Linked DNA regions of Cricetulus griseus. The protein of the gene in region 1 interacts with the protein of each later gene in a biochemical or structural test. Links are inferred from orthologs where the notes say so. Each region holds a gene or a part of one and is shown on either strand. Other genes may lie near its edges. The genes, in order: Yap1, Shank1, Trerf1, Slc9a3r2, Josd2 and Ttyh3.

What was found.
Region 2: the proteins of Yap1 (region 1) and Shank1 interact in a test that uses a peptide from one of them, tested with the Homo sapiens proteins (2 studies listed by IntAct, with this or other methods). The link is inferred for Cricetulus griseus from reciprocal best matches to the Homo sapiens genes YAP1 and SHANK1.
Region 3: the proteins of Yap1 (region 1) and Trerf1 interact in a test that uses a peptide from one of them, tested with the Homo sapiens proteins (2 studies listed by BioGRID and IntAct, with this or other methods). The link is inferred for Cricetulus griseus from reciprocal best matches to the Homo sapiens genes YAP1 and TRERF1.
Region 4: the proteins of Yap1 (region 1) and Slc9a3r2 form a complex in vitro, tested with the Homo sapiens proteins (2 studies listed by IntAct, with this or other methods). The link is inferred for Cricetulus griseus from reciprocal best matches to the Homo sapiens genes YAP1 and NHERF2.
Region 5: of the proteins of Yap1 (region 1) and Josd2, one has a biochemical effect on the other in vitro, tested with the Homo sapiens proteins (2 studies listed by BioGRID). The link is inferred for Cricetulus griseus from reciprocal best matches to the Homo sapiens genes YAP1 and JOSD2.
Region 6: the proteins of Yap1 (region 1) and Ttyh3 interact in a test that uses a peptide from one of them, tested with the Homo sapiens proteins (2 studies listed by BioGRID and IntAct, with this or other methods). The link is inferred for Cricetulus griseus from reciprocal best matches to the Homo sapiens genes YAP1 and TTYH3.

The regions. Positions count from the first base shown.
Region 1 is NC_048597.1:122,382,175-122,385,674, forward strand, and holds part of Yap1 (transcriptional coactivator YAP1), read right to left. Parts: coding exon 3,370-3,500; intron 1-3,369. UniProt on the Homo sapiens protein: Transcriptional regulator with dual roles as a coactivator and corepressor. Critical downstream regulatory target in the Hippo signaling pathway, crucial for organ size control and tumor suppression by restricting proliferation and promoting apoptosis.
Region 2 is NC_048599.1:153,187,677-153,191,176, forward strand, and holds part of Shank1 (SH3 and multiple ankyrin repeat domains protein 1), read left to right. Parts: intron 1-200; coding exon 201-368; intron 369-533; coding exon 534-650; intron 651-3,500. UniProt on the Homo sapiens protein: Seems to be an adapter protein in the postsynaptic density (PSD) of excitatory synapses that interconnects receptors of the postsynaptic membrane including NMDA-type and metabotropic glutamate receptors via complexes with GKAP/PSD-95 and Homer, respectively, and the actin-based cytoskeleton.
Region 3 is NW_023276806.1:256,688,868-256,692,367, reverse strand, and holds part of Trerf1 (transcriptional-regulating factor 1), read right to left. Parts: intron 3,053-3,500; coding exon 2,665-3,052; intron 1,734-2,664; coding exon 1,667-1,733; intron 193-1,666; coding exon 53-192; intron 1-52.
Region 4 is NC_048600.1:44,234,673-44,238,680, forward strand, and holds the start of Slc9a3r2 (Na(+)/H(+) exchange regulatory cofactor NHE-RF2), read right to left. Parts: upstream 2,801-4,008; 5' UTR 2,618-2,800; coding exon 2,405-2,617; intron 161-2,404; coding exon 1-160.
Region 5 is NC_048599.1:153,335,043-153,339,080, reverse strand, and holds the start of Josd2 (josephin-2), read right to left. Parts: upstream 2,801-4,038; 5' UTR 2,750-2,800; coding exon 2,708-2,749; intron 2,595-2,707; exon of another isoform or gene 2,541-2,594; coding exon 2,483-2,540; intron 2,106-2,482; coding exon 1,943-2,105; intron 482-1,942; coding exon 356-481; intron 1-355. Other genes in the region: Aspdh (putative L-aspartate dehydrogenase), read right to left, coding at 2,801-2,912, 3,170-3,252, 3,480-3,690, 3,764-3,984. UniProt on the Homo sapiens protein: Cleaves 'Lys-63'-linked poly-ubiquitin chains, and with lesser efficiency 'Lys-48'-linked poly-ubiquitin chains (in vitro). May act as a deubiquitinating enzyme.
Region 6 is NC_048597.1:77,238,308-77,241,807, forward strand, and holds part of Ttyh3 (protein tweety homolog 3), read right to left. Parts: intron 3,390-3,500; coding exon 3,169-3,389; intron 2,832-3,168; coding exon 2,736-2,831; intron 1,395-2,735; coding exon 1,322-1,394; intron 1,075-1,321; coding exon 999-1,074; intron 1-998. UniProt on the Homo sapiens protein: Calcium-independent, swelling-dependent volume-regulated anion channel (VRAC-swell) which plays a pivotal role in the process of regulatory volume decrease (RVD) in the brain through the efflux of anions like chloride and organic osmolytes like glutamate.

The DNA.
Region 1 (3,500 bases):
GAAGAACTATTTCCTGCAGGAAAACCTGCAGAAGTGCTGAGGTATAAAGAGAATTGATTCTTTTAAAATAAAAACTCAAAATGCTGTGGTGAAATTGGTTTCAAACATTAAGTTTGGTGACAAAGATATGGCATCTCCAGTGACTAAGGCTTTTTTTTAGTACAGCATACTCTCTAGAGTCTGGGTCCCTGTCCGGGACAGAGGTGCTTGTACTGCAAATACCACCACCACCACCACCTCCCCACCCCACCCCCAGCCCCGGTCATTTGCCAATATAAAGTTCAAGGCTCTAGAGCTCACTGGCTTAAGGACAGGCTTTAACACCAACCATGGTAATTAGGTGGCCTTGAAAGTGGAGGATGGGCCAATAGACTTCAACACTCATTTGAGGTCACAAGGCAACAATTAGCTGTCCCCAAAGTCACTAATTCTCCCAGATCTCTCAAGTTACAACACCTTGACAACTTGGACCATTTGTGGTCAGAATTCCACGCCCCCCCCCCATGTATAAATCTCAAGAAATGACATACTTTGTCCCAGTAAATACCTAAAAAGATGAATGGAAGGTTTAGTTTTCATGCTGGCATGAGCTAGAATTCAGAAACTAGTTCAGATCTTCCTTCCACGACTGGCTGGCATCCTTTTGAAAGGTTTTTGTTACAGTTATGTATTTATGCACCTGTGTGTGCATATCAAATGTGGACGCACCACAGTTCTGAGTTTGTAATGTGTGAGGACAATCTGAGGAGTCAGTTCTCCCCTTTCATCATGCGGTTCCTGGGGCTCACACTAAAACTGTAAGCTATATTCAGGACCTCACACGAGATGGGAAGAGAAATAGATTCTAAAAACTAAGATAAAAATAAATTTTGACACAATAGCTACTTGGCATCAAAGCTTAGTTTACCATCATCATCTCTGACTCAGTGAGGGCAGATATTAATTTCATTCATCTGTTTGGTGCACAACAGCTCTTTCTCTTTATGGTAACTACACAGTACACAACAGCAGGGGGAAGCCAGCAATGGAGAGAAAGTTCTGTTTCACATCACTTCTCCAAACCGCATATTGTTCATAAGGCGTTTCCTCTTCAGAAAAAGCAACTTCATAAGACTACCCACCTCCTACATTCAGTTCTCCACAGGATCTTTACCACACCCAGTGACTCAGCTCACCTGCTGTGAGGGCTCAAGTCACCCCTCAGGGGTGGGTGACCTTCTAGGAGCATGATGTGGAAAAGCTTACAGAACCCTAACCCTCATTCATCATAGAAGCCGCCCCAACTTCCATGGGCAGCCTCAAAATCAATACTGTATTCTCAGACCCTGCCAGCATTTGCTTCCTAGGCCAAGTTTCCTCAATCCTCCTATGGCAAGTCTTAGTTTGGTGTGGTTTACCATCTTCCTAGCCCCCACGAAAAATAGGTGAGAATGCTAAGCTGGGGTGGAGCTAGTGTGGAGCACCCCTCCTCAAACCTACATACCCAGCAGTTACTTGCCATAGGAAGAATTATAGAAAAAAAAAAATTAAGAGAATCTACAAAGAGGCTTATTTCAGCTCAGAAAAGATCACTCCCTCAAATAATGAAGATGCAAACAGATGTCACCAACAAGCAATTTTAAGAAAACACAAAAGAGTAAAAGCAGCATAAATGTTGCTCTTTAACCTTCGGCTCACAACCACAGCCACAACTGAAGGCCTGCAGGCTATTAAGCTGTTTAACATCACCCCAGGTCACCACAGGACACAGCAGGGAGGCAGTCAGGACTCCAAGTCTTTCTTTTCCTCCCTAACAACCTGGTTTGTTTCCCCTCCCTTCTCCTTCAGGACACACAGCCCCCCTCTCCCAACCATCTACTTTGGAAGTCTGCTTAGAGAATAAATGATCTCGCTCTGGTGGATGAGTTTGCCAGGCTTATATGTACTTTCCAGTCTCAGGCTCTTTATTGTTCTCCTTGAAACCTGACCCCTTGAAATGAGTACCAGAACACCAGAAAATGTTTTTGTTGTTGTTGTTGTTGTTGTTGTTTTTAAAGCCTTACAGGAAAAAATGGCAACAAAACAAAAAACAAGGTGTGTTGGGGGCGGGGGGGGGGGGGGGGTTAGAGGCTTTCCAAGATCAAGATCAAATCTCTTCCCTTGTCCTCCTGAACTGCAATGTCACAAAACTCTGTATCCTTACTATAAAGCAGTAACTCAAGCCTTTAATCCCAGCACTTGGGAGGCAGAGGCATGCAGATCTAAGTTGGAGGCCAGCCTGGTCTACAGAGCAAGTTCCAGGACAGCCAGGGATACAGAGAAACCCTGTCTCAAAAAGCAAATACACACAAAGTAGCAACCCACCCAAGACAATCAACTGAAAATACAGACCGGGTAGGGGTGGGGGGTGCGGGGTGTAGCTCACAAACAAAACAAGGTTGTTACTGGTGTTCTCTGATCCAATAAATGAGGCTGCATTTACTTGAGACATCTAAACAGATCTGCATCAAAATGAGCATTGTTCTTCACATCAGCATCTCAGCCCAATTAACCAACTCAAAGAGCAGAACAATCCACAGTCTGTAACAACCAGTCTGAGACAGTTTGCACTCTAAATTCAAACAAGCCCTAGAAAATTAGATCTACCTCCAACTTCAAAATTTGAGGGGATAAAATTCTATTTTGTCCTTTTCAGATGGGTGTTATTTTGCCATTTTGTTAAAAACAAAAAGACTGGGCTGAGGGATACCCAGTGGGCTTGCTTCCATTTCCCAGAGAAGGTACAGCCTGAAAAGTGTGCATGACTGGAGGCCAAACTTAACAACTGGTGTTTTCTTCTCATTTTGAGGGAAAAAGCTGTTTAATGGCATCAAAAGGCAGCTTTAACTGATTGTTGTTTCACAAGGAGTATTGTAGAGTCACCTCTTCCCCAAGTCCTACTTATTTCCTTCTCTGTCAATTATTTATTTGGTAAGAATATACAAGGTCCTTGGTTCAAAACTCAAGACATATGAGTATATGCAGGGGGAGAGGCGGGCAAGGGACAACACACACACAGAAAATATAACCAGTGTCAGTCTTGCTATTTAAAATTTAAATTTTTCATGGCATTCTGTTTTGTGCCAGGCTAATTAACAAATCTGGCACAAACTCAAAATGAGATTACCCCATATTGCCACAAAAGTTTGCAAAAAGGCTCTGAGCCAAGAATAAATAGGCTTTCAAGATGACCAACACTAAAGCGGACACTCCCATATATAAAAATGGAGGACTGGGGGGGTGCCGTTCAATGGCAAAGTATGATTGTTAACCGATAAGGCCGAGTTCCATCTTTAGCACCAGCAAAGTGCCATTCCTGCACTGCCACCTCCCAGGGTTACCTTCACTTACTTTAAGAAGTATCTCTGACCAGACGATGTCTTGGCCATCTCCCAGCCTGCAGGCAGGGGTACATCATCAGGGATCTCAAAGGAAGACTGTCGGAGATGCTGTGCTGCAGGGGTGGCTGCAGGACCAGACAC
Region 2 (3,500 bases), on another chromosome or scaffold:
ACACACACACACACAGAGAGAGAGAGAAAGAGAGAGAGAGAGAGAGAGAGAGAGAGAGAGAGAGAGAGAGAGGGAGAGATTGGAGTGGAAATGAGACAGGTATGAGCCTGCATGGGTCATTCAAGGCTCACCTCCCTAACAACCCCTTGGAATTAGAGCTGCCATCTGTCCTTTCTTCCTGAGTTATCTGTCCTCCTTAGGCACTTCTGGACCTTGGGGGCTCTCCCAACTACAAGGACCGCCGAGGGCTGACACCCCTGTTCCACACAGCTATGGTGGGGGGCGACCCCCGCTGCTGCGAGCTACTTCTGTACAACAGGGCCCAACTGGGCATTGCAGATGAGAACGGCTGGCAGGAAATCCACCAGGTATTCAGATTTAGTACAAAGCATCCAAGGGGCTGGGATGCGAAAGAGATGGCAGAGTTCCTTACAGAGAGGGGATGTGGGTGCAGATCTCTGACCTCAAGGAAGAGAGCCTTGGAAGGATTCAGATGAGGTATAATCAGGCTTACGCACTCCCTGTACCTCCAGGCCTGCCAACGGGGCCACTCTCAGCACCTGGAACACCTGCTCTTCTATGGGGCTGAGCCTGGAGCCCAGAATGCCTCAGGAAACACAGCCTTGCACATCTGTGCCCTCTACAACAAGGTCAGCCCAAGCAACATCCATCTGCCCCTTCAAAGGCCTATGCTTCACACAAGTTCACTCAAGCCTCCTACAACTTCTGTTCATTCACCATTTCCACCTACCTACCCATCCATCCATCCATCCATCCATCCATCCACTCACCACCCATTCATCCATCATCCACCCATCTATCCTTCCATCCATCCATCCATCCATCCATCCATCCATCCATCCACCACTCATTCATCCATCATCCACCCATCTAGCCACCCACTCGTTCATCCATCTGTCCTCCACCCATTCATCTATACATCTACAAATTCATCCCTCTGTACATCTACTTGTCTACTCATTCATCCACTCATCCATCTATAATCCACCCCCACCTATCTACAAACCTATCCACTTATCCATCCACCTACCTACTCACTCATCCATCATCCAGTCATCATCCATCTACCTATCCACTCACTTATCCATATCTTTGTCTACCCAGCTACCTACCCACCCATCTCCCATCCATCCATCCATCCATCCATCCATCCACCTACCCACCTTCCAGCCAGCCAGCCATCATCCACCCATCTGTCCATTGAGTTTAATAAGCTTCTCCTCTGTGTCTGGCTCCAAGCTTTATACTGAGCTTCTGGTCTAATCCTGGGTGCTCAGTAAAGTTATGGAGAATCATGTTCCCTTGGGAGCCGTGTTTGGAGTTGGGTGGAGGTGGCTTTCTGAATGATGTCAAGACAGCAGGAGCAAATGAGGGAAAAAAGAGTGCTCCGGGAGGGGAGCACAGCTGTGTAAAAGACAAGGGGCTGAGCAGGTGGAGCCTTTGCAGGGGGCAGAGGAATGAGAAAAGTACAGCCTGGGGATATTGTATATTCAGTAATGTTTTGTGGAGGGTCCCTCTCCAGGAATTTTGGGGAAAGATGGGCTGTATAAAGGAGGCAAGGGTCTCCCCAAGTGGGACAGCTGCCAGCAAGGGCTAAGACCCCTTTGCCATCTGAGTACCAAGAGACTCCAGGTGAGCCAGGCCCCTTGGAGCTGCAGCCTCTTCTCTCCCCAGGTTTTCTGAGATTCTTGTCCTTGAAGAGCTGCTTGGGGGGCTTCAGGGTAGGGAGGGCAGCACTTGCTGATCTGCCCTCCCTTCCTCCAGGAAGTCTTCCAAAACAGCCCCAGCCCCTTCTGCCTCCTGAGAACTCTCAGTGCTGGGGATATGGCGGGTATCCAAGTGCTGCCTTGTGGCAGTGAGCAGAATGCTCAACGCCAAGAGATGACTGGTGTTCCTCAAACCCAGCAACATGGTGCTGGCATTTCCTTCCCAAGTACTACTGCCTTCTCTACTGCTCCTTATGCAGGCCTCTGTGCCAGGACCTCTGGCTCTGAGGCAGGTGCTTGGTGGGGAGAGAAAAAGCCCCAGCCCCCCACACCCAGGAAGACCCTTGAACAAGCGCCTTCCACTTTCTGGGGCTTTGTCCTCCCCGAAATGAGAATCATGTCAGCTGATTGAAAGGGATGAGTGATTGTGTACATTAAGTATTCATCCCTAGAAGACAGCCGTGATAATAATTGTTATTATTAGTATCATCGCCAGTGTCAATTGCCAGGATGCGGTCAGAAGGCTGGCATTCATCTGAGCAGGGAAAATTGAGTACAGAGAATTATACAGCATCCACTATTCCCCAAAGAGGGCCAGATGAGCATATTGTTTTGCCTTCTTTAGCTCCCCTACTTTAGCTCCCACGATCTGTGAAATGGGTCAGTCATGAATATCCTTCAAAGGATCAAGCAAGTGAACACTCTGCTTGCTATCAGATCGAATAGATGCTTAGCAAATGTGAGTTCATCTTCCACTTCTCAACCCAGTCTTCTCTGTGCTTATCCTAGCCAACATGCTACCTATGGACGTCAGTACACCCACCTACCACACACACACACATATACACAATTATTCACACACCCACTCACCCACCCAACAACCCATCCATCCATCCATCCATCCATCCATCCATCCGCACACTGATTTATCCATCCATTAATACACCCATCTATCTGTTCATCTGTCTCTTCATATACCAGTTCATCTAACCATCCACCCAGCTACCCATCCATCCATCCATCCATCCATCCATCCACCCATCTGTCCATCTGTCTGTCCACTCGTACATTTACCCACCCATCCATCCTGCTGGCAAAGGTCCCTAGGCTGTGAGCCTCTCAAGGGTTGGGACAAATTCTGGTAGATTCTGATTCTGCACCAAACCCCCAGAAAATAGTAATTATTTTGCATCCATGAATCTATCCCTGTACCCATCCATCCATCTATTCATATATCCATCTGTCCATCCATCCACCTATCTAAGCTGGGTCTGACCATCACCCTTTGCTGTCTGTCATCTTGGCCCAGTGGTATGAACATGTAGCCCCTGCTGGTGGACCAGTCCTACACTGTGAGTCTCTCTCAAAACCGGGACAGAATCTCACAGACTGCTCTGTCCCAAGCCCTCAGAAACAGTATTCCTGATGCCATTGTGTGCAGTGAGAGATGAATGAATGCATGACTGATTGAATGAATGATGGGGCTGTGGGTCTCCACCTGAACTGTGCACAGCTCTGGGCTCAGGACTCTTGGCAGGTGGCTGCTGTTTTTGACAGATTGAATGACTCAACAGATGAATGAATAATTGAGTGACTTGAGCAAATGAATTTTGATTGATAGCTCCACATCCTCCGTCTCCATTTCTTCCAAGTGAATTTCTTTAGCACCTACTGTGTGCTTGGTGCCAGGTTCTGAGGAAAAGAGACGAATCAGAAATGGTGCCAGCCTCAGGGAAGGGAAAGAAAGCTCTTGGTTTGGTGAATATTTAAACA
Region 3 (3,500 bases), on another chromosome or scaffold:
TCCTGCTAGAGCAGCCAGCTTCACCCACCCTGCTCCTCCTAAGTGTCAGTACCTTGTTGCTGGAGGGCCTGGTTTTCCAGCTCAGGCCACGGCTTCCACACCAGTGTGGCCTTGTGTGTATCCTGAGCCAGGGCGGAGACATCTTGCAGTTCTGGGATCTCTGCTTGGAATCTCAAGCCAATGTTGATGCGTCTTTAAGGACAAGAAAAACAGTGCAGCCTTCACTGTGATGGCCTAGGCCAGGGGCCACTGTCAGGAACTGAAGACACAGGACAGCAGTTCCTTCTAAAAGAAGGATGCCAGAGCATCTCCTTGTGGCAGGGCCCTCCAAGTCCAGGCCTTTTCACTAGTACAGATAGCTTTAATGCTGGGGACAGGGGAAGGGGCAAGGCAGTCGTTTGCCTGGAGATTCTCAGCTCCCTGAAACTGGAGTGGAAGACAGCTAATTCCAAGAGAGGAGTTGCCTAGAACACAGAACTGGAAGTGGGCTACGTGTGTGCAACAATGTAAAATATTTATGTATTTATCCCTTCCAAACCTCTTTCACATATATTATGTCATCTAAGCTCACAGAGGTCTGTGATATGAACAAGGCAGTATTCATGGTTGGTTGGTTGGCAGCAATCACGATTGCCATTCAGGGAACCAATGAAGGCCTCAGGAAACTGACTCAGTACAGATCAAAACCAGAATGGTGTCAACTCAAACTTTCTGATTCCGGACTCTTTAAAGCTCTGTACCACAAGGCCCCTTTTCTAAGTTCATTCATGAAATGAACCACTTTCCCTTCCACAGTAAAGTAGTGCCTCTTTATCTACAGCTTTCTTTGGCTTTCAGTTACCTGTGATCAACTAATGTTGGAAAATATTAGATGGAAAAATCCAGACCTTACTTTCATGACATTTTAAGCAATGTGATGGAATCCCGAGCCAGTCCACCTCGCCTCAGGTGTGAACAACCTCTTGTCCCATCTGGAAGACTGGCATGGGATTCTCTTCTAGCTAAGCACCTCCAAGAGAGAACCCCTCAAGGGATTGGAGAGATGACTCAGTGGGTTAAGAGCACTGAGTGCACTTCAGGAGGACCCAGGTTCAATTCCCAGCACCCACAAGGCAATTCACAACTGTCTAACTCCAGTTCCAGGGGATCCAATAGCAATGCACATAAAATTAAAAGAAAAAAAAAAAAAAGAGAGAGGCCTCAGTGTCCCTGGGGATATGAAAGTATTAGAGTTTAGAACTGGCCCGTGGAGGTGGGAATGCTAATAGTCCTAAGAAAAGACTCTGAAATGCTAGCAGCTATAAGGAAACAGTAGTACTCAAGAAAAGCCATGTTCCTACCATTTCCACAATTCTCCCCTCTCAGTGGCCACTGACTATAGAAGTACTGACTGACCTTCTAGAAGCTTCCAGACCATTCCTTATCTCAGGTGTGTGCTCTAAAGAATAATTGGCTTTTCAGGACGGGCGTTGGTGGCGCACGTCTTTAATCCCAGCACTCAGGAGGTAGAAGCAGGTGGATCTCTGTGAGTTGGAGGCCAGCCTGGTCTCCAGAGCGAGTGCCAGGATAGGCTGCAAAGCTACACAGAGAAATCCTGTCTCAAAGACCCCCCAACCCCCCCCCAAAAAAAAAGAAAAAAGAAAAAGAATAATTGGCTTTTCCTTACGGTTCAACATCCACAGTCTGCTCTCCAGGTCCTGGGGTGACTGTCACATTGCTGCCATCGATGCTGCCTGAAACAGAAACTAGGGTTTACTGGTCAACAAAGAAAACTTCCTAAGACATGAGAACAATGAGCAATTAGCTGACCAGTAATTAGCCAATCAGCAATAACCAGGCTCTTTCCTAGACAACCTAAACCAATTTCCAGAGGACTGCATGGATACATGCAGTTTTCTGTTTCTTTCTCTCCTCCTCCTCCTTCAGCCCCCTGACAAGGGTCTTGATGTTTAGCTCAATTTGGTTTTGAACTTCCTATCTGCCAGCTTTAAGCCACAGCCCCCCAGTGCTTGGGACTACAGGAGCAAGATAACTGTTTCTCACATAGTGTGAGGAAAAGTTGTCCTGCTACATGGTTTCTAGGCAACCAGAAAGAAACCTAGCTACAAAGATCTCTCTCTTCTCCCTTCTGTGCTCAACAGCTCTGAGGAGATGGAGTTTTCATGTGCTGCCCAGGCTGGCCTTGAATTCCCTAGCTTTCTACCTCAGCTTCCTTAGTAGCTGGAGTTACACTTGTGTACTGCCTACAGAGTTCATGATTGGTTCTTTAATTTTTATATTATTTTTTAATATTTTTATTTTTATAAACATGCTAAATATTAAGATTTGCTCTTGCCTATAACACCCAAAGCCCCGCCCCTGACATCTGTTAAATATCTTAAGCATCTTGTCTGACCACCCAAGGCGGTCTTAGTGTGTACGCTTCCCCCCCCACCTTTTTTTTTTTTTAAACCCCAAAGACGATTCACTTACTTTTCTCCTCAGAACAATTCCCTTGAGCTACTAAATGAGATGCTGAGAATTTAACAACACCTAACATGCAAAGTATCTGGAACACATAACCGATACTTCAACTAGCCAGTTGAAGAAAGTGAGACTCCCCACCCACTCAGGGCAGTATCCAGAATCGACAGGGGTGACAGCAGGGGTTAAGGGATGACTCACTGGAGCGGCACAGCAGCACTCGTGGCGTGGGCGTGAGGGGAGTGAGGGGCAGCTGGGGGTGCACTCCTGGGCCGTGACCGGAGATGAGGACATTGCTGAAGAGCCCTGAGCCCTGGCGCACCGGGCTCAGCATGGGTGGCGGTGTGTAGGGGGGCAGCTCGTGGGCCGGGTCCAGGAGCAGGTGGTCCCCGAGGATGCGTGGGGAGCGCAGCTGGCTCTGGTACAGGGTGGCCCCCGAGTAAGAGGTGGGGTTGGGAGTATAGGAAGAAGGCGGTGGCGGGATGAAGAGCGGCTCGGGCCGGTGCCGGAATTTCTTCTTCTCCGGCAGGGTCTTGAGGGGCTCCTCAACTTTTGCGGTGACGGCTGGATGGTGTTTCCGTGGGATTTCCTAGAGTGAGAGGAATAGTTGGGATTCAAACTTGGACATCGCAGCCACTAGCCCCTTTCTGTCATTGCCGTGGCCCCTTTCCACAGGTTGGCCAGGGATCTCGAAAATTCTAAGGGGGTGGGGGAGAGACTGTCTCCCTTCTGCTCATCACCCCCCTTCCCCACTCCCACCACATCGGCCTTGGGCTGGTTGGGAAAGAAAATCCGGAAGGTCTGCAAAGGGTAGAGCGGGTCGGTGAGAAGCCATAAATTCAAATTCCTCTGTCTTATTATCACTACATTTCCATCTGTTCTGAGGGGATCCAGCAGAGTGGCTCTTTAGTGGCCCCACTGCCCGCCCTGCAGGGACAGACCACACATGCTCCGGGCAGGAGACACAATTCCCTCTCGAGGGATGCAGGGCCCACGACTGAGGGGCAGGAGGGGGCTCGCGCCCCGCACGCACGCAC
Region 4 (4,008 bases), on another chromosome or scaffold:
AGTCGTGCTTTGGCTCCCAGGGGTTGTGGGCTGGTGGAAGCCCTCGATGGGCCATCTCCTCAGTGCAGGTCAGTTGCCGCCGGCAGAGTTCCTCATCTGTCTCCTTGTCCACCACAAGCAGCTGAGTGTGCCCCTCCACAGCCTTGATCCTCTGTACCACCTGGAATGGGTGGGTAGCAGGACTAGATCAGCAGCCAACACGCTGGGCAACACATGGATAGGGCACCACTTCGAAAGGGCGCCACTCTTGGCAAAGCACGACTCACAGACAGCAGGCAGGGGTTGGCCTGCCAGGGGTGGGCAGCTGGACTGAGAGGCCTGCGAGCTCCACCCCCCACCCCCAGTTTCCAGTAGCTCCCTCCCTCTTCTCCCTGAGCTAGGGCCCAGGCTGCAAGTACTTCAGGATCCTCTTGTGGCATTGCACCAAGCTCAGGTAAGGACAGGAAGGAGATGCCAGGAGCAGCCAGATGGAAGAGTCAGAAACGATTGAGTTGAGCTTCAGGATTTCAGTCTAGTCTATGCATGTGTGTGTGCATGCTTATCTGTATGTGTGTGCTTTTGTGTGTGTGTGTGTGTCTGTATGTGCATCTATTTTAAAGTCTGTCTTTCCGCCTAGGTGTAGGAGAGGGCTACATGGCCCCAATGTGAGTATTTGGGTTTATTTCTTTCTCTGAGATGCAGTGTGAATCTAACACCCAGAAATCTCTAGAACTCCAATTTGCCTCCAGACCAGGACTAGAAACCCATTCTTGCTGCACCTGCAAAGGGGTGAAGAACTAGAGATTCTACCTAAGGTGCCAGAAATATCAGGTAAGCAGGATCCCACTCCAGCAGGTAAGGCGAACAGTAGCAGATACAACAGTGTAAGAGGTGTGGCTTGACAGCCATCTGTGTATCTGGATGGGTGCCTGTGAAGTGTGGAGAGCATGTGGGCTACCATGGATCATGCAGGATGTTAGTTTGAGTTCAAAGGGAGACATGCCCACCGGACATCTGAAGGGCAGGAAGCATTAACAACTGCACCAAGGCCTGCGGCTGAAGAGACGGAATCCCCATCATTACTTCACTTAGTACATGCTATCCTATCACAGATAGGAAGGTCTGACCCACAGCCACCTTCACCTGGCCCCTCCATGACCATCCTCTCTCCCTGTGACCAATAGAACAGGATCCCAGCACCCTGACACCTTTTGGCATGGGAACGGAGCCAGTCAGTAAAATAGGAGTCATGGTTTTACCTCCTATCTTCCTGAGCAGGAGAAAGGATCGAATGTGGCTCTGCGTGAAAGTCTGTAGGGACTAGCACCCCAGAAACCTGCGATAAACAGGTGGATTCCAGTAACTGCTAGAGGCAGATGACACCAACCCTGCAGGTCTCTACCTTGCCTTGTGGGCCAACCTTTGGGCTCCATCCCAAACTCTTCATCACACAACCAAATCCAGTGGTCACTGTAGGTAGAAAGCAGGTTCCTGAGGGAGACAGGAATTCCCTCATGGCCCAGTGAAGTACCACCCTGCCTTCTCCAGGCTCCAAGACTAACCACACAGGTAGGTCATGGACATGCTGGTACCAGGGATCCAGGCAGAAATGGTGGAAGAAGTCTGGGCCCTAGCCAAGGTCTGAGGTGTGTCTACCCCTCAGCAGGATACAGACACCCAGAGGTAAAACCTGAGGAGAGAACAGCCTTCCTCTGGCTACAGAAGGCAAGAGCTGAACAGTGACCTATACAGGGAGGGCCAGGCAGCCTCTCAGGAGGAGGCTGTTTCTGACACCAAGGAAGTATACTGCCATGGTGCTGACTGCCAGACCCAGACATAAGGGCCCATGAGAGAAGTACACCAGTATATCCAATCATGCAGACAGACAGATGGACGGACACACACATACACACACACACACAGCTGGCATACATGTTTGATGTATCCACCCAACCCTAGACACACATTCCAGCACTGACACTGAATGCTTTCATCCTGGAACAGTTGGGTAGTGTGTTCATATGGATGACCCCAGAGAGACCTGCAAGCACTCACACATTGACAGAAAAGCATCTGTACCACAAGGCCACAAGGTGCCTTAGCCACCTCCTCCCCCTCCATGGCACACAGAGGCCAAAACTAGCAGAAGCAGCCAGGGCCCTGGCCAGAGTAGCCGCAGTGCGGCCCCTCCCTACCAGGATGTCCTCCCTCCCCCGCTAGTGCAGGACTGAGCTTCCTCACCAGGAGGCCAGCTGGCCGGCCACGTCCCACACCTCAACACCGAACCCAGGCAGGCCCCTGTGCGACCCTGGCCGGGTCCCACCATGTGGCACGCAGAAGTGGGGGTTGTTGGCATCTTGGCCAGCGCTGTAGGGACGCGCCCCCAGGAGGGTGCCGGGGGGCGGGGCGCAGCGCAGGGACCCACCTGGTGATGCGTCTCGCCCTCTACGTTGACGCCGTTGACCTCAACCAGGCGGTCCCCGGCGCGCAGCGCGGCCGCCTCGGCTGGGGAGCCTGGCTCCACGCGCCGGATGAACTGGCCACGGCGGCCCTTCTCGCCATGCAGGTGGAAGCCGTAGCCTTGCTCGCCGCGCACCAGGCGACACAGGCGGGGCCGCAGCGACTCCTGCGCGGCCATGGCACCCGCTGCCCCCTGGCTGGCCGCGACTGGCCACGGCTCACACCCCCGCAGGCTGGAGCGCGGAGGCGGCGGAGGCGCGGGCGGGAGAGCAGGCAGCGGCCTCTGTGGCTCCCGCTCAGCTCGCGTCGCCTCGGGCTCCGGCTTCGGCTCTGGCCCTGGCCCCTGCTCCTGCTCCTGCTGCAGCGCGCCGCCCCCGCGCCCGCCCCTTCCCCGCCCTCCTGGCTGCCCCCGCCCTAGCCCAAGCCCCGCTAGCTAGGCCCCTGCCTGGGAGCCCAGACCATGGAGCGAAGATTGCAGGGTCACAACCCCGAGCCCTGGGACTCCTATGTCATCCCATTTTGGCCACCCTCCGAAGCACCTTCGCCCTCTGTTCCAGGAACCACTCATAGACACCTGCATACCCTACATTCCCTACATTGAAGAGGTTCCTGAAATAGGGAGCTTAGAGAAAGGACCCCTACACAGAGACCAGAGGGCAAGAACAGGGGCCGCTGCTCTCCCTCCTCGGAATACACCTCTACGCACCGCACCGGGATTGCTCTGGCCGCTCCCTCTTTGCCCTCTGAATTTAGATCCCCAACACAGAGTGCAACAGGCAAAATACAAATTTAAAGAGACATGCCAGTGACTAGGTGACCCCCTGCCCCTCCCAGGAAGTGTTTGTTCACTAAACATCCTGAACCCATAGTCCCTGCTTTTCGGGAACATGAGTTTATCTGGCAGAGATGCAAGGGTATTTGCTGCCTTCCTCTTGACCTGGTATGATCTCTGCTAAGGATGAACTTTGGCTCCTGAGCTCTAGGTGGTGACCAGCTGTCCCATATTAAACCCCACAGGTCTCCCATCCTCTATCCCCCATAAACTCTTACTTTTACACTTGTGTAAGTTCTCACCTGCGGGACAGCAGTCCCTCAGAGAATCACTTATGCATATTCCTATACAGTTACCCTCAGAACAACCCCGGAGGAAAGAGGCCATTTTACAGATCAGGAAACCGAGGCCTGGCAAAGGGAGGTTCTGAACCTTTTTTGGAGCCTAGTACTGTGAGACTGCACTTTGACCTGCAAGTATATTCTCAGGCACATATGGCAGCTGAGATCCAGGCTCACCTACAGTCTGCTTCTCCCCAGCCCACTGCTCCTCACTTACCTGGTCCCCCTGGATCAGGTATAGCCAGTTCATACAATTCCCCATGTGGATAGGAGATGCAGCCCTAGTTCAGTGTTTGCCTCTCCCTCTCCTCTTTCCGGAGCCCTTAGCTGGAGCTCTCCACCTCCACCCAAGCACCAGGACCGCCTCTGAGCAAAATCATAGGCAGCAGCCCCTTGGGTACCCACACCCTAGTGGCTGCCCCTGAAAGGCACTTAGGCTGAAGATACATTGTTGCT
Region 5 (4,038 bases), on another chromosome or scaffold:
CCAGCCCCTCAACGTTTTGTTATTTGCCTTTTTGAGTCAGGGTCTCTATATGCAACCCAGGCCAGCTTCCAATTCAGTTTTGCCTCAGGTCAACAGGCTGGTCTCACTACTCTTAACCCCATTTCCTCAGTCATGAGTCACTCATGTCACTTGGACCCCCCACAGAATACCTTTCACTGGTACCAAGTTTATCAGTTTAGCTCATCAGTCAGTCAGTCAGTCAGTCAGTCAGTCAGTCAGTCAGTCCCCATTAGCCAGAGGCTCTCTGGCAAAAACCTCCCCCATCTACCTTCAAGTCACCCTCTGCTTCATCCCACAAACCCAGGGCCAGTGTAGCCCACAGCCTAGGCCCTACCTCCTCCTGTCCCACCACACAGCGGCCAGGCCCAGGCCTTGCAGGGCAGCCATGATCACGTTGACATCATAATTGCCGGTGCCCAGGAGGCTGCGATGAGGGTTCAGCCGGGAGTCTGGGGCCAGCCTGGGGGTGAAGGGGGCAGAGCCAAGGTTGGGAATCCTGGAAAGGCCTTCAACTTCTCACACAGCAGGAGAGGCCCAGAGCCTGGCTTTTGGCTCTTTCTCTTTAAGCCCCACACAGCTCATTGGGCTCTAAGCCCTGTTTTTCCTCCCATTCCCAACACCTGTACTCTCTGCCTAGCTAAAGTTTTTGTCTTTTTCCACTCAGAAACCCTTCCCAGTCTCTAGTCTCTCCATCCGATCCACCTCCAAAAGCCTTGAGCTGCCTGCCTCTCTCCTACTCCCACCTCTCCCATGACTCCCAAGTGCTCTGGACAAAGTCTCTGCCCTTCCATCTGCCCTTCTCATCATGGCCTCTTTCCAGACCAGCCTCAGATGTCATTTCTTCTGGTAGAGAAGCCATCAAACCCCCAGAATGGGCACAGAGCTCCCCTGAGTGACAATGCCGCTCATGTCACCATATTTGAATACAGAATGCCTCTTTCATTTGGCAATACCCTGCCCTACTCTGTTCACAGCCCTCCCTGGTGCCCCAAATCCCGGGGACAGACTCTCACCTCCTCCAGTGGCAAGTGGTTCTTGCATAGCCTCAGCACCAGCTCTTACCAGCCACCTATCTCCAGCTGTCCCTGTGCCCAAGCCTTCCCTCTAAGCTCTCTCCAGATGTGACCCTGTTCCTCTGAAGAGCTGGCCCCTTGGAGAGCAGTGACATGGAGGGAACCACTTGTGTTTGCTCTGTGTCCCGAGCCTTCTCCTCACTACATCTGCCTTAGCTCTAGTTGTTCAGCATGCTCCTGGCATGACAGAGCTGGTGGCAGGGGGATGGATATCTCCTAACATAAATCTACAGTCTGAGGGTGCTGGCTGAGCAGCAGTGAGAAGATGTGAAGGCTGCCTCTGGATGTGGACATGAACTGCAGGCTGGGGTGTTGGCGTATCTGTGAAAGGATTGTGGGGCCTAGAAGTGGGACTAGGAAGAGAGTTTAAGAAAGTGATGGTTGAAATTCTGAAGGGCACCTACGTGACCAAGAAGAACAAGAATGCCTGGGTAAGAGCTCAGAATCACCACAGTGGGGTCATCTGGGGCCAAGGAGAGTAGTGAAGGAGAAGCTGCAGACTGGTAGGCAAGGACCAGAGCACCCAAAGCCTTGGAGTTCAGGCTGAAGGACCTGGGCTATTCTCTAGGAGTGCCAGGGACCCCCAGAGGAATAAATGCAGAGGAGGGGGAAGGCAGCTGTGGGGCTGTGTGTAGGATGGTCAGGAGGAGAAACACAGACAGCTGGGAGGCTGTGACAAAGGCTCAGATAAGAGAGGTTGAGGCCAAAGCTGGGTTGAGGCTGTGAGAAGCAGCAGGTGGAAGGGCAGACATCAGCTCCAGGATCTGCGCCCCGGCCTTGTTAGTGCCCAGGCAGGCTCCCATGCCCCTCAGCCCTGCTCTTCCAGGGCCAGGACCTAGGGCAGTCACCTCTTGCAAATTTCATCTGCAGCTTCCTGGCTAAAGAGCTGTTGTTGGAGGACGTTGTTGAGAGCGTGGACCGCGCACAGCTCTAGCCGCTGCCGCTCGTGGTACACTGAGGGTGGGCTCGGCCGCGCTTCCGGGGCCTGAGACATGCCCTCCTCGGCTCCTGCTGGGGGTGGTACAAGGAGAAAGTGTTAGGGACCCAGGATCTCGGCCATCTGGGTCTCCAGACTCCTGTGTCCCTGGGCAACAGCCACTGAGATGGGCACTGGAGCCAGCTTGGGAGGAAACGACCCAGCTACCTAGGCTGTCTCCGAAGCGTAGAGGCATCTTTATGCCCTAGTCCTAGGGGGAAAGGGCTCTTTTTTGCTCACTTGGCAATAGAGATCCACCCCCACTTCATGTCTCTAAGCAAAAAAAAGTCCGGATCACTATAACCTAGTAACGAAGTATCGCCCCTTCTGTCCCTAGGAAACAATACCTTTTTGGTTCCCAAGCAACAGAGTACTCCCCACCCGCTTGGTAACCGGTCCGATTTCTGATCACCTAGCAATGGAGGACTCCTCCTTCCCCGTCTCTGGGTAACAGGGTCTCTTCTGGTCGCCTAGCAACGAAAGACTTCCCCTCATCAATAACCAGGGTTCTCTCCTCCCGTCACCTGGCAACAAGGCCCTCTCCCAGTCACTAAGCAACAGGAGCTCCCCTCTTCCTGTCACCTGGCAACCAGGCACGCTCCCACCCGCCTCCGCACGGCACTCGCTTGGCCCTCACCCCGTCGGCCTCTCTGCTCGCTGGGACCGGCCGCTTTCTCATTCCCTGGGTAGCGGCCGAGTGGTACCACGCTGACTGGGCAGGCAGGACGGACTACAGCTCCCGACCGCCCGAGCACTCCTGACTGCAATTCCCGAAGGCCTCCGAGGCGCCTAAATAGGACGCGCGGTACGGAAGTCCGCCGGGGACGCTCTGCAGCGCGGAACTACAACTCCCGTCGGACCACACAGCCAGTTTTCATGCACCCCCAGGGCTCACTGCAGTCTAGAGGTTTCTGGGAAATGTAGTAACTGGGGCTCTCGCGATAGCTTCCAGGAAAATGGTTTGTGCGTATGCTCGTGCGCTCGCTGCTATGGCGTCACACACAGTGTGTTGAAGCGTGATGTAATAGAGTTAGGGGATAAGGAACTAAAGAGGCCAAAGAGAACAGCCGACAGAACTCTGATGTTTACTGAGACACACAGTGGTCGAGGTGACAGCAAGGGCAGCGGGGGAGACTTGTCAGCAGAGGTGAATCCCAGGTCTGGAGGGGAGCTGGCAGCAGCCTGTGGGGAGAATGAAAGACTAGAATGACCACACAGACATGCAAGCAGCCATGGCGGCCGTGGGCTTTGAAAATGATAGTGTAGTACAACCCAAAGAGGATACTCAGAAAGAGATGTGGGGTGTGGATGCAGAGACAAGAGGGGGGCTGAGACTCAGAGAAAAAGAGAGACCTGGGAGAGAAAACTAAGGATGGGCAAAGACAGACAACCGGGGTGGGACATCCGACATGTGAGTTCTGCAGGGCACAAAAGTCAAGGGACTCTTGGAGAGGTCTGGACGCACCCAGTAGGCTGCCCCAGAAGGCTGTGACAGTAGCAGAGCCGGTGACAGCGCCAGGCTGGGCTGGGTTCTCTCTGTGGGTGTGCACAGCAAAGCTGTGGCCTGTGGGCCCTGGGGGGCCTTTCAGCTCCACGTCCACCACGTGCATGTCTTTGAGGCTGCAGCCAGCGGAGAAGGGTAGTTAGTACATCTGGCCTGTACACAGGTGGGCCACTTACTTCCGTTGCTCACCTAAGGTCAGCCACAAGCACCCCAATGACACGGTCGAAGCCTAGACTGGGGGCAGCCAGGGCAGCAGCTGCCATGGTGTTAGAATTTCGGGGGGCCAAGGGGCAGAGCCCACGCACAGGGCCCTCGTAGAGCACTGTGCGCGGCCCACTGATGTGTGCTGCAGCCAGGGACCCCTCCAGTCGGAAGCCATCAGGATGTGTGGCCATGGTGACTCGAAGGCTCTGGAAACAATGGCAGGGTCAGGAAGCTGAGACTCTTACATGTTCCCTCAGTTG
Region 6 (3,500 bases), about 45 Mb from region 1:
TGCCGACATGCAAGTACATGCATTCACACTGTCCTCAAGTGTGCCTGCCTGTGTCTGAGTATCTACACACGCCAATGCTTGCAAACCATGCATATCTGTATCCACGTGCTTGCACATACTTGTATGTACATGCATTCACACACATGTGCATGTATGTTTTCGCATATATGTGAGGCTGAGCAGTGACCTCCAGGGAGATTGTGGATGATCCTGTCCTCAGAGTGGGGCCCCTGAAGTGTGCAGGACACTCAGGGGTGGGTCTTCCTGCTCAGAAGCAGTGACAATGGGAGTGGGCGCTCTATGCCAGCACCCACACTCAGCCTTAGGTTCTGCGTTCCATTCAGTTTCTAGGAGTGCAGGGGCTGTAGGCCCAGGGATACCGCTCCTCATTTTCTTCCTGTATCCAGTGTGTCAGGAAGCCCTGCTGGTCCCACCTTGAGGGAACATCGATGCCCACTTCCACCTGCTCAAGCCTCCATTGCCCCCGCCATCTAGGGCCTGTGGCTCTAACAGCTTCCTTCTTCCTTTGCTCTTCATGTAGCCCCAGGCAGCTTTTGTTTATATTTTTGAGTTTCTGAGACAGTTTCACCAGGGTTGGCCTGGAACTCAAGTTTCTACCACTGCAGCTTCCCGAGTACAGGGATTCCTGGTGTGTACTGTGCCCAAGCTCAGGGAGCTTTTACAAGGATTATCGCATGTCTTGGGACTCTGTCTTCACTCACGAAAGCCCATACTCCCAACTGTGGCCAGGCCTCCTGGCTTCCCACCTTCTGTTACCAATTAGCTGCCTCACTAACACAGCCTGGGCTTCTGCCTCAGACATCCACTAGAGACACAGACTCCCCCTGGCTGCCTACTTGGAAGCAACCTGGGGTACCAGTTTCCTGACCCATACCATGCCTCCCTGAGGTCAAAGGCTTATAAGGGCAGGAATGCCTCCGCCTTGTCCACCTTGCTGTCCTAGGTCACTTCAGCCCCACACATAGCCACAGACTCACCCCCACTCAGTACTGAGTACTCCTCCACCATCTTGGTCACAAAGGTGTCAGGGTCTACACAGAAGTCGCTGGAGCCCTGAAATGGGTGAGGCAAGAAAGGACAGGTGACCAAGCTGGGCCTCAAAAGCCAGCCATGACCACCCAGAGTTCTCAAGGAGACTTTGCCCCTTACCCCCAGGGTCTGCCCTTAGTTCAGGGAGGCAGAGTGGAATACAGGGAGCATGGATTTGTATGACCCAGGGCAAGATGAGGGGGGAATAGAAGTGTGGCTTTCTCCTCCCAAAGCCCATCAGATGGGGATTCCTGATTCCCCTGCCACTCACCACAGACACGGCCAGCTCCAAGCCCAGTGCACCCCAGCTGATGACCAGGGCCAAGACACCCAGCAAACAGACCCTTGGGGCAAAGAAGGCCCATCAGGATGGGAACAGGGGATAGGGGGCATACCATACACACAGCTGCAATACAAAATGCCAGGCCCCTAAGGCCTGGGTGGGTCTGACTCACACAGGATGGTAAGTCTTCCAGTGACCAGGTCTCAGAGTCACTCAAGTTCTGGACCTGCACAAATGCTCCTCCTGGCTGGGATGAGACTCACCCAGTGAGTGCACGGCTGGGGACAAGTGACAGCAACCCAGGCTTGGGTAGAAGATCCTGTGTCACCCTCGGTCTCATACATCCTGTTTACATGAGACCTTGATCATATCAAGCCCTGCAACTATGCCAGTGCCACCCATTCCTATGCATGGCTGGCTCTTACCTCCCTCAGGGTCCCCTGCTCTTCTACACACACTGAGCTGCAGGCCTACACATTAGCCTACATGCATCTGTCCTACTATCCCCTCTCTTGGAACTCCTTGGGACACACACACACACACTGAAGAGTGCCTACTCTCTCTTGGAACTCCTCGGGACACACACACACACACTGAAGAGTGCCCGCTCTCTCTCGGAACCCCTCAGGACACACACACACTGAAGAGTGCCCGCTCTCTCTTGGAACCCCTCAGGACACACACACACTGAAGAGCGCCCGCTCTCTCTTGGAACTCCTCGGGACACACACACACACACTGAAGAGTGCCCGCTCTCTCTCGGAACCCCTCAGGACACACACATACACTGAAGAGTGCCTGCTCTCTGACTTTGCTTCCCAACTCAGCATCATCACTTGACTTTCAGCCTCTGCATGTTTGTTTATCTTCCAATCCTTGGGAGGCATGCAGGTGCCCCTGGCAGGGGCTGGAGCGTTATGGGGGCTCAACAGTGCCAGATCCAATAGTAACTAAGAGGTGACTGCTCAGGGGGGACAGTGACATCCTCTTGTAGCCACCCCATTGGCAAGCTGACATGTTTCTGTCTTTTAGAGATGGGTTTGGCACCTATGGGTCGACTGTTCAAGCTGGCTGACAAGGTAAGCAGCCGAACTGGCTGGGCTGGAACCCAGCCAGGTTGCCTGTGTCCCCCACCACTTCAGAGACCTGGCCACTGGCTATAAGTACTCTTTGTGCAGAGTCTCCCAGGGAGGAGCACAGTTAATAACCATAAACCTGCAAGTAGCTCATAACACTGGTCACAGCAGTATGGCATCTCAAAGAGGAAGGTTGCCCTTAGGAGATGCTCATGGCCAGAGCCAAGTGGGTTTTATTGACAGGATACAGGGCTATGCTATCCCACACCATTACCCCATCCGTCTATCCATGGGCCCACAGGGACCCACCTTCCCCTCTGACTCACCCAACCAAGATACCCTTGGAGCTGCGGATGAGGCCAACCAACACCAGGAGGCAAATGATGACATCAAGCAACAGCAGGCCGAGGTACCCCAGCCACCTGTGGATACACACAGGGGCCAGGCATGGATAAGGGCTGGGTAAACAGCCTGGGACTTATGTCTTTTGGGGCCGGGTCTTGACATTTAGCCCAGGCTAGCCTGGTGCTCCCAGCCCCCTTTGCCTCAGACTCCATAGTGTTGGGATTATGGCTGTATACTGCCAAGTCTGATTTGATGTCAGTTCTTGAAAAAGATAGCACCTCCTCCCACAGGGATTCCTGCTATGGCTAGCAACCTATAAGGCCTCAGCCACTCTGTACAAAGTGGTCCAGGAGGGTGATGCTCTACCCAGGTGGGGTGGACCCTAGGGGGAAGGGTCTACCCCACCTGGCTCACCTGTACCAGTCATAGAGGTCCACCTGTTCAGCCAGCACCTCCAGTGATACACCAGGGTTCCTCCAAAAGGGGATGGCAGCGGTGTAGCCCAACAACGTCCCCAGCAGGCTCTGCAGCCGTTGCACAGCCCTCAGTGGCTCCTGTCGCCCAACTAGCTGCCGCTCCAGGCTCTGCAGGTTGGGCTCTGCTGTGCGATTCAGGGCCGCAGCCGTGTCCCACACCTGCCAGAGGAGCACTATGAACTGGAGCCAGGTGCAGAGCTGTCACCTGTACTACCAGATCATCCCACATGCATACAGAAGGTTCTAGAGCAGGCAGGACGATCCCCAGCC